Linked DNA regions of Coturnix japonica. The protein of the gene in region 2 interacts with the protein of the main gene of each other region in a biochemical or structural test. Links are inferred from orthologs where the notes say so. Each region holds a gene or a part of one and is shown on either strand. Other genes may lie near its edges.

Evidence for each region.
Region 1: the proteins of STK26 (region 2) and CAB39 are reported together in a solved structure, tested with the Homo sapiens proteins (2 studies listed by IntAct, with this or other methods). The link is inferred for Coturnix japonica from reciprocal best matches to the Homo sapiens genes STK26 and CAB39.

The regions. Positions count from the first base shown.
Region 1 is NC_029524.1:4,181,783-4,186,997, forward strand, and holds the end of CAB39 (calcium-binding protein 39), read right to left. Parts: intron 5,117-5,215; coding exon 5,051-5,116; intron 4,249-5,050; coding exon 4,105-4,248; intron 3,381-4,104; coding exon 3,192-3,380; 3' UTR 764-3,191; downstream 1-763. UniProt on the Homo sapiens protein: Component of a complex that binds and activates STK11/LKB1. In the complex, required to stabilize the interaction between CAB39/MO25 (CAB39/MO25alpha or CAB39L/MO25beta) and STK11/LKB1.
Region 2 is NC_029519.1:3,352,990-3,358,204, reverse strand, and holds part of STK26 (serine/threonine-protein kinase 26), read right to left. Parts: intron 3,028-5,215; coding exon 2,797-3,027; intron 1-2,796. UniProt on the Homo sapiens protein: Serine/threonine-protein kinase that acts as a mediator of cell growth. Modulates apoptosis. In association with STK24 negatively regulates Golgi reorientation in polarized cell migration upon RHO activation.

The DNA of each region.
Region 1 (5,215 bases), on a different chromosome or scaffold from region 2:
CATAACCTAGTGGCAGCCATTGGGAAAACATACCGCAGTTTTATACAAAGGCTCCAAAGTTGAAGCCACTGCTGTAGGCTGTAACTGACCCAGTATTTTTGTCTGTAACATGGGTACGTTCCCAGCAGGAAACAAGCTTCTGTAACACATCAGCAGCGGAGGCAGACAGCTTCCATGGCAAAGACACCAGAGTTATTTCCTAAGGAAAGAGTGACAGTCAGTCCCACACACTTTTGCCCCTGAAATCTGGAAGGAAGGGCTACAATGACCAGGACTTCACCTCCGCTGATCCTGTCAGGCCCTGTCTCTGGAGATGACACAGGACACAGCATCTCCTCTCTGCCCTGGGTCATACAGAAGGCCAGGGAACAGAAACAGCAAATCACAGTATCACAGTCTTGTGCGGGTTGGAAGGGACCTTAGAGATCATCGAGTCCAGCCCCCAGGATTCGAGTCTCCTGTGTAGCAGAGCGGCACTTCTACCACTTGCGCCACAGGGGGGATTCGAACCCGTGCAAATATCAGCAAATAACACAATGCACAGGCAAAAAAGACTTCTCATAATTAATGAAAACTGATTAGATCTCCAATACGGCACCTCAGACCCTCAGAAAGATTTTTATAAGCCAGAGCTTTTCATTATATAGAATGATGTAATATGTAAAGGTGAGAACATCAAACACCTCTGAGGCAACAAAGGCACAAAGGTTCTGAGCCAGAAGAAACGCGCCGCCTTCAGAAACACAGCAAAGCACAAAGCACACCTTTTTCTTCAAAATTTTATTTCAATTTAAATTATGGGGCCAGCCAGATTTTCTTTTTTTTGTTCGGATAAGAAACGCATTTTCCTCAGGAGAAATGAAATGCTACCACGGAAGTAGAATTACAATTGTGTACATCTCTTATTTAAGAAGGAAAAGAAAAAAAAACAAAGAAAAAAAAGCACAAAATCAAAACCCGCTCACATTTCAATAAGTTGTAGTAATATCCTTCAGCCTTCCAGCAGATAAGAAACCACTTCCACAACAACAGCTGGGTCTTTTTCAATACGAAAAGCACGTCAAATGAGCTTTAATTTCATACAAGTTCTTTCCGAAAGCCAACTTTCAAACGTTATCACGTATTAAAGAAGTTACCTTAGCCATTACTTCCAAGACCTAAGACAGAGTAACCTACATCCCAGTCCAAATGTTTTCACATCTTTGCATATATAACACTTCTATGCTTTTCTAAAGAGGAAGCCTTATGGTAACTTGGCAAACAACATCTTCCATTCAGCTACGATAAACCAAGTAATAACCTGTTAGTCCTGAACTACAATACCATCCTGTGGCCAATTCTGCCTGCTCACGTAAGCAATGCCCAGGAATAGTCAGCTCTTTTCCTCCCAGTAGGCAAAACGAACCCGTTTGCAAAGGACATTACAGGACCTGAAAAAGGCCAATTAAAATGTTAAGAGCAATTTTAAACTACTGGGTGAAAAGGCTCGATTTTCTGGAGCTACCCAGCTTCCCTTGTGAAGGCTTTCAAACTGGCTTTAAATGTCACTTAAGGAGTTTCATCTTGCTGACTGTGGAATATTTTAATTAGGAAGAGGACAGGAAGCAACAAACATTTTCTATAGCATTCTCAATCAGATTCAGCCATGCAGAATTTGAACTTTCAGACTCCAATCCATACGCTTGGTAGGTTGTGATCTTAGCATTACTATATGATGGATAAATACAACTTCAATAACATCGTTTAGCTATATTTAGTAGATTCCTTTTGTATGGTCACAGTAACAAAAAAATGGTGCAAAATCAGTTGGTTTTTTTTGTTTTTATAAATACTGATAGTTTGCAGCATTAAAGAACAAAATCAACAAAGGAAAATCATTTTGTTACTCTAGGACATCTATATAATTATGGTTCTTGAAGTCAGAGGGAATCAGTTCATTCACTCACACAACTACATACTGAGTTAACTATTGTAAGACAGGAACGATGCACTGCAGGCTCCCCAGAAGTGAGAAGAATCCGTCTTAATTTAGCATCACATTTTGCCATCTGCAGATCTGGTGAGCACAACACTAGTTTAATCGAGTAAGGCCAATGTTATCTGGTAAGATTCTAGTAGATAGGGTTCCAGTTCTCTAGGTCAGCCTAGCCTAATTGATGGCACCCCATTAGGTGAGTACAGAGAATTTGTTGGTGGCTTTTTTCTTTTAATGCTGCAGTACTTAGGATCGTTAAATCAGCATTTCCATGTGATCTGAAGTATTCAATTACATATGAGCATTCATTTTGCAAAACTCAATATTAGGTAATAGTTACAGACTAATACAATAACATTCCTCTGCTGTACAAATTAAATCATATTTTAAAGAAATGAGCAGCCTAGGAGTTATATACAAAAGAAACCAGCAAGCATCGTTGAAATGAAACGCAAAATGTCACTGCTAGGTCTACTGTCTGAAATACCTTTAAAGCAAAATTAACAAAACCCCTTAGAACATATTTCCAAGTTTACAAGTCGATTCCCAGAAAAATCAAATCATGTCCAAAAAACCTAGAAAGCAGTGAAAGGCATATATACATTTTCCTTATGGACCTTGAGATGTCACTCTTTTAAAAGTTGCTAAGTTTCAATATCAGTTTATTTGCAAGACAACTGTTTATCCCAACAAGCTCACATCTTAGATACATTTCCCCTTTGATTACAAATAAAGCACTGCACAATTTATTTATTTTTTTTTAATCAAGGCATGTAATCTTATACTATGGTGCCAGGTATGCACAGGTCACGTTGTGCTCGTATCTCAAACAAGGTAAGTGCAAACATACAGATTTATTCAGATTTGCAAGCATGCAACCTTTTACTTAACTACATTAATACCTTCTTTCCTAAACCAAACTATTATCTATATGTTTGCGTTCATGAACCTAGAATCTTTCTTTTCAGGGCTCATAAAACAAGCAGTGTCTTTGAATTCTGAAATGACACAAATATCAAGAAAGTCCACATTGTGCAAGAAAGCAGCAGCTATGTTTTTCAACTTGGACTAAGGAAGAAAAAAAGAAAAACAAAAACCGTTCACTGAACAGCAGATTAGCAGTAATGTTCCTCATGAATCGATAAGAGTGCCTGATGCTGAATATCTAACAGCAACTGCTGAATTTGGGTTTAATATTATAGGGGTTTACTGGAGATTAAGCTTCTTGCTGTGCTGGTCTCTTCAAATCCCTGATCTGTTTAACTAAATAGGTCTTCTCATCATTAAATTGTTCGTCCTCGGTCCTGTCATTCTGAAACTTGCTGAGGAACTCAATGAGTTTGGTCTGGTTCTTTAGAAGGATGTCTAATATAGGCTGCGTCTTGTTAGGGTTGGCTACAAACACCTGCAAGACAATAAAAGGCATTCAGTGTAATAGTGGGAAACAGGAGGCCTAGATAAATAAACAAACCTAACCAACAAAACAGGGATGACCATAAATGACATTTTAGTTATTCAATATTCCAAATTGTATACAGAAAAGGAAGTAAATCAAAGTTTTATTCCAGAACTGATTTAATTTTTTAAATCAGAACATAAATCAAACACCAGTATTTGCAGTAAATTCAGGCTGTGGGAGCTGTTAGACACAGTACCCTCTGCAGAAGCCAGTTCAGACATTCCACAGTTAATTTAACTGTGGCAAACACATCATTCCATATTACATATGACATCAGACGGGTATATTCAAGTTTACTAAAAACTTTTATACTCCAAGCTGTTACTGTAAGCTCTCCGTTATTTGCCTGTATGCTGCTAAGTCAGAACAGACCTTTTTATAACACGTAAACAACAATTAGGCTTTGAAATTCAGCTGAATTGCTCAAAACATTGCTGTTCTTTATAGTGTCACACAGTACGACAAAAACACTTTAGACCTCCAAGATAATTCACGCTTCCCTAAAACAATGGATTCCTCCTTATCCTGCTGCACTTCATTTGAGGCTCAGCTAAGCAGTTTACTAAACAAACTCCTGGTGGGTTTTGTTTGGTTGCTGTTTTAGTGGAGCTTTCTTTTCATTTTGTTTGTGTATATTTGTGTGTGTGTATATGGTTGTTCTTAAATTTACCTTAAACACGTGAAAGGCCTCAAACTGAATGTTACGACTCTTGTCTCGTAGAAGGTTCATCATTAGTTTGAGATTTTCAGGTTTACTGATGTATTTTGTCATAATCGTGAAGTTGTGTCTGTCCAATAATAACTCACCAAGAAGCTAGAAGTGAAAAGGTGAAAGAAGAGATGACAGAACCTGTTCGTAAGTACTTTCAAACACACTGAGTAACCAACACTGCTCTGTAAAAGCAGAAAGATTGGAACTCAAACACGCCTTTTTTCAACAGGGAACTGCAAAATCTCCTTTTATTCTCCCTTTGTTATGAATTGGAACTGAAATTAAGAAAAAAACCATAATCTTTTTGATGCTTTTTTCCCCCCACAACTTCATTATTTTTTCTGTTAAGAAAAAATACTTCACATCAACCTAAAGAGTCTGGTAAGAAAAGGGAGCTGGCAATCCAAATGAGAAATATTTCTACTTCTTTCACTACCCATTTTATCCAGGGAGGATGCAAAACAAAGGTGAAAACCTCTGCTACAAATTGGCACATATACAACAGTTATAATCGGTATTTCCGACTAACTTAAATTAGTACTGCACTAATTACATCACGTGAGCCCCTCTTTTAGATTATTTAACAAATAAATCATATGTATTTAATCAATTTCAGTTCATAAATAATTTAGTCAGATTTGTTGAAGGGGAAAAACAAAATCTGAAAAAAAAAAATAACAGAAATAAACTCTTCCATTGAGTCACTTCTGCATGGAGGAAGAAATGACTTGGTGTGTGCTAGACACTGAATTATGGCAGGACTGGACTATAGGAAATTAACTGATCTCAAGATACAAATCAAATATTACCCAAAGCAGTTACTTGTTGTTTCATTTAGCCAACTCATTTGAAATTAAAGGCACTCTCTAACTTTGCTCTGAAGAACATAAAACTGCATCATTACCTTAAGTGACTGTCTCTTTGTCACATAGTTTTCTGAATGAAGTAACTTCTCATATTCACTGAAGAACTAAACACAGGACAAAGAGAATGGTTAAGACCTTTTCAAGTGTTACAAGTACTCTTATACTAAATTACTATAAAAAGCTGGAGGAGATGGAAATTTGCA
Region 2 (5,215 bases):
CATAACCAGAACATACCAGAGCTGGAGTAACTCTCAGTAACTTTAATCTTTCTGTTGGATAAGCTAATAAGGCAGTAATACTGACATTCTGACACAACAGAGTTGAGGACAACACTTTAGCACTCTAGCATACCTTACACTGCTATGCAGTATCATTTTGAAGGGTACTTTCCACAATCTATGTTTTATTTTGTGAGATATGACGTTCACTGCAATCAAAGTGCAATCCTGGGTGACAACTCAAATTTAGATGCTCACCTACCACAGACAGGAATGTCTACAAACATCTATATCAGGATTAAAGTTATCTTGCATCTACACAAGCTCATCAGAACAGCTGTATAAACTTGCACAACTCCACACAGAACAGTGAAAGACACTAAATAAAAGGCAAAACCTTTACTACCCAACACAAACACATTCATAATGGTACATTCTTTGACTACATGTTTATACATCACCTACCAATGCTTGGGCCTTGCAAGACAGCCAAATTTAAGGGAGAAAATTATTAAGACTAGCTGAGTTTTAAGATTTATTCAACAGTAAATTCCCATTTGAGCTCCAAAGTTCAAGATACAAAGGTACCCCATGTCTTTGTGATTTGGGAATTTTGCACCTTTTTGTGTCACGATAATGGAAAATTAGCACCAGTCTTATCTCAGTGGTAAGGAAGATGACCCTAACTTATCTCAATAACGTTTTTAAAATATCTACTAACAGACAAATAACACTACATTGTTAAGTAAAAATGCTTAGGGGCTGTCTGTATTTCTTAAAATCACATTTACAAGTCAAAGATGCAAGCTGTAGCTAAAGAGCAGCTAGGCTGCAGAATATAAGAGTATCTCATATGGCATCAGTTGAGCTGACTAGGTTACAAATTAGTAAGTCAAGTAATTGAGATAAAGACACTCTTTCCTCCTCCTGTTCAGTTTCTGCTTAGCAGGAGGATCACTGGGAAGATCCTGAGTGCTGCTGGTAAGTCACAGGGCCACTGGGACTGGGCCGCTCCATTCCTGTTAGTAACAACACTGGCTCTGCATCCTGACATGCAAGAAACTAAGAACCATGTAAAGCTCCAGAATATTTAAAATAAATTGTATACAGAGGGAAAAACAACCTCATCTGAAAGGCTGAACAGTTACAGAATCCTTGCAGTTAACATACGTTGTTTAAAGTTTTCATCATAACATTCAATTATCAAATGTGTTTTCTTACAAAGGAGAAGAGCTGAAGCTGACTGGTACTTGATGGCAGTAACCATCTGCTTATTTGAAGTTCAATAAAGTTGGTTACTTCTTAAATACTGAAATACACTTATGCTCTTTTTGCCACTACCTTTGAAAAGTATTTCTAGGAGCTATTTTCAATAATCTTTATGTATAAAACCAACAAGCCTATTTGATCACTCCTGATGTAATCTTGGTGCCAGTCATATCCACTAAGAACTGCTATTGCACTCAGCAGCCTAAGACTCTGCTTTCTATGAAATAACAGACCTTAAGTTTCAGGATCTAGCCTCAACATTCTTTAACCTTTAATTATTAAGTCATTTTGTACAAAACTGTACATACTTCATTTCCAGAAGAAGTCTACAGAATATGCAGAACAAAATACTGAACAGCTTCATACTAAGGCTGACAGCCATCCTCAGAACTACAGCTAATAGAAAGTTAGAAGCTACAGCAACCTTAGTTTTTACTTTTAAGAATAGACAGATAGTACTCTCGAAATGCTTGTCAGTACCAAAATTAGAGTCAGCATAAAAGATTATTTGGACACTTCTACCAAAGCCAATACACTCTCCCACCTGAGAAATCTCAAGCTGAAAGAACCAGTACTAGCAAACAAGGATGAATCTAGTCTAAGGCAGGGAAGAGCAAGCAATAAAATTAACTGCCATGCTAGTATGGGATTAAAAACAATCCTGTGATTTATTTTTTTAAGGGAAGTTTCTTAAGGGAAAATAAACAAAATTTCACAAACAACTCTACAAACATCACCCAAAAATGTTTCCCCCAAAATAGTAGACAAGAAAAACCAGGGGACCAGCATTAATCTTTCAGAATGCATTAAAAAATGGAAAGAACCCAAACAAGGAAAGTAATGCAGAATTAACACACTCCTGCGCTTGCCAGGAATTTTTAAAGAGCAGAAAACCCAGACCAGGAGCTGGAAGTTACATCCAACTATTCTGTCAGTGCTATACATTCATATACTTCCAATTTTTATCTCTGTAGGGCTGAGCATTGTTGTGTGTGTTGATGTTTCCTTTTTTTAAAGCTTGTTTCTTAATTTAAGCCTTAGATAACACGAGAGTTACATAACCACTTTGTACTGTTGTCAGTTCTACTTTGTTTCAGGCCTACTATAACACACAACTACAAACATCTCCACACGGTGCAGCGTTTCCTTCCATATCAAAGGAGGGTTTCTCTTTTTTGTTAGTCTAGCTATGAAAACATATTTTTCCCCCTCCAAAAAGGCTCAAAATTTCACTGGAAGTTGTGAGGGAAGAAAGAAGAGAAAACCTCTTCCTCCATGTAATTTTATAAGCTCAATAGCAATAGGAATCTTCTGTCAACTCCGCTCCTTTTGTAGCCATTTTGTGAAGATCTGAGCTTTAAGGAACATGCAGCAAAAGATGCAGAACAAAGGCAACTCCATTCAAAGGGAAAAACAGAAAGTCAAGTTGATGTGATAACACTTTCTCAGTTATAGGAACTTCCCTGTGCATCATTCAAAATGGGCTGACACATTGCTAGTAAATGTTTGTGCAGTAAGATACATTACCTTTAAATATGATCCATAGTATTTCGTTACATAAGGACTATCACACTGACTTAAAACAGTTATCTCTTGCTGTATATCTTCTATTTCATCTTCTGCTTCCTCGAGGTCTATGATTTTTATAGCAACCACTTGCTGCGTCCGATTATCAATTCCTTTAAAGACTTCACCAAAGGAGCCTTTCCCAATGCGTTCCAGTTTTGTGAATAATTCTTCTGGGTCTGCTCTATGGTTCTAGAGAAAAAGTTAAAATAAATAAATAAATAAAAGATGAGCTATCTTCATTTACTTCCAAGTTATTAGCCCTCATTAATGCCCATGAAACACATCACCCAGATTTATCATTATTAGAGTGCTCGTATCAGATGAATTTATTTCCTATACACTCACTTCTAATTCAGCTATTAGTTACAAAATGTATATTATACAATTATGTCAAAGGTAAGTGAATTTCACCATCGAAAGCAACAGGTACAAATCTCATTTCCCACATAATGCTTTTAAAGGAAAGAATAGAGCTGTTCTTAATACTGATCCTGTCTGTGTGGTAATTCAGAAGTCTACAGAATGCAATTACTGGCACAGAAGTGCTAACATCATTCCCCATGTGAATAAGGCTGGGCTCACCTATGAGGTCAACAGCCTTGGGCAGACAAAGCTCCACTTCAAGTAATAAAACACAGAGGTAGCTGCAAGAGGACTACAGCACCCGGAGCCCATTAGCAGCATCCTCCACCCAAGCACACTGAGCTTTTGAGATCTGCTAAGATGTAAGGCAACAAAAGGCACTGAGAGACATTCAAAGGAGTACAGATGCAGAAATTAAACTTGAAGCACTGGTCAGAACGAGCTGATATCACCCAAACACGCCTTGGATGAGGAACACAGCACCAGACAGTACAGCACTCATGAGGACATCTGGTTTCCTTGGAAGGTTAACTGCTCTATGATCAGCACTGACATCATACAAAGGTCTTAACGCTTCCCAGCTCCATTCAAGGAATCAGAGGGAAGAGAGAAGAGGACCTCTAACACTTGCAGCAACTTTGCTGCTGCTAACTTGCCGCGAACAAGAAAACCCAAAGGCCCTCTGATTCTGATGTCTCTCCTGTATCCCTACACGTCATGCTTACCCAGCAGATCAAGTGAACTGCCCTGACAGAAGTGACAGCTTTGGCAAAGGCAGCCATTGTGCATCTGCTGCATGGATTACCCTGCACAACACACAACTCTAGTACCAACGGGAAACAAAACATCTTTACAGCATCATTTTGAAAACGGGTGCAAAAATCATCACTGGGAAAACAAAATTATTGCTCCTTTTTTTGACTGGAATACAGCAGCAATCTCACTACCTTATTGGCCACCTACTGTTCCCTTCCTTCTATCAGGATCAGATCTTATCCCACAATACAGTAAGATGAATCAGGGAGCAGATTTAGCTAACAGTTAACCGTATGATTTGTCAAGTTTATTTTCAGCAGAACCAATTCGCTGCTCAAATATACCGAGCTGTCATTTGTGCTATCACAAGAGGAGGGAACATTAAGTAGTAGGGCAGATTTGTGCTGAGCTGTGGAGTTGAATTGTTAAATCTTGCAAATATATGAAACACTGCTGAGCCCTGGTTGTACATTAAAGCAAGAACTAGGAATTCCTCCTTTGCCTACAAAGAGCTCTGTAGTACCCTGATGTATTAAAGAGCAAAGAAATACACAAGAATACACCTTCAGAAAAATAGCTACGCATAGATTTCTATTCCTCATCCCCCCCTTCCTCCCCACATATTGCTAGATGTACCAAAGGACTTGAAAGATGAGCAAATGCACAATCAAAGCAAGTATTTTGACCTGAAATCTGGGATAATTACAGGATAATAAACATAAAGGGAAAGAAACTGTAGACCTCATGACTATTATTTAGTTAGCAAACCAATGTATTCCTGAACTACTGCATCGACTGCAGTAAGAGCAGTTCTTTATTAACATAAAAAAATGACAGGAAAGTGTAAAGAAAGGATTGGCAAAGCTTTTTGTTAACCCTAAAACTGTCAGCTGTAGAAATACCAGCTTTATTTAGAGATACCTCAGAGCCTGTGGCTCCCATTCAAGTCACCTGGTACCTACTGCTGGATTTGATAGAAAACCTGTCGAACACTTTCCACATAGGTAAATGAAGAGAGAAGTGCTCCCAGATACAGTCACTGATCCAACCTCCACAGGAGCCTGATGAACTCAAAGAGCAGCTCCTAAGGTTTATCCCCAAGCAAAATGTAAGCAGAGAATTCCTCTGGACTCCTCAGTAGAAACACTGCACCATTACATCCCATCCACCAACTTCACAGTCAACAACAAGGCAGGTCTCAACTCTTGCCCCCAAGCTACCTCAGGTGAATCAGAGCTTTTAAGGCTATTTTAACTTC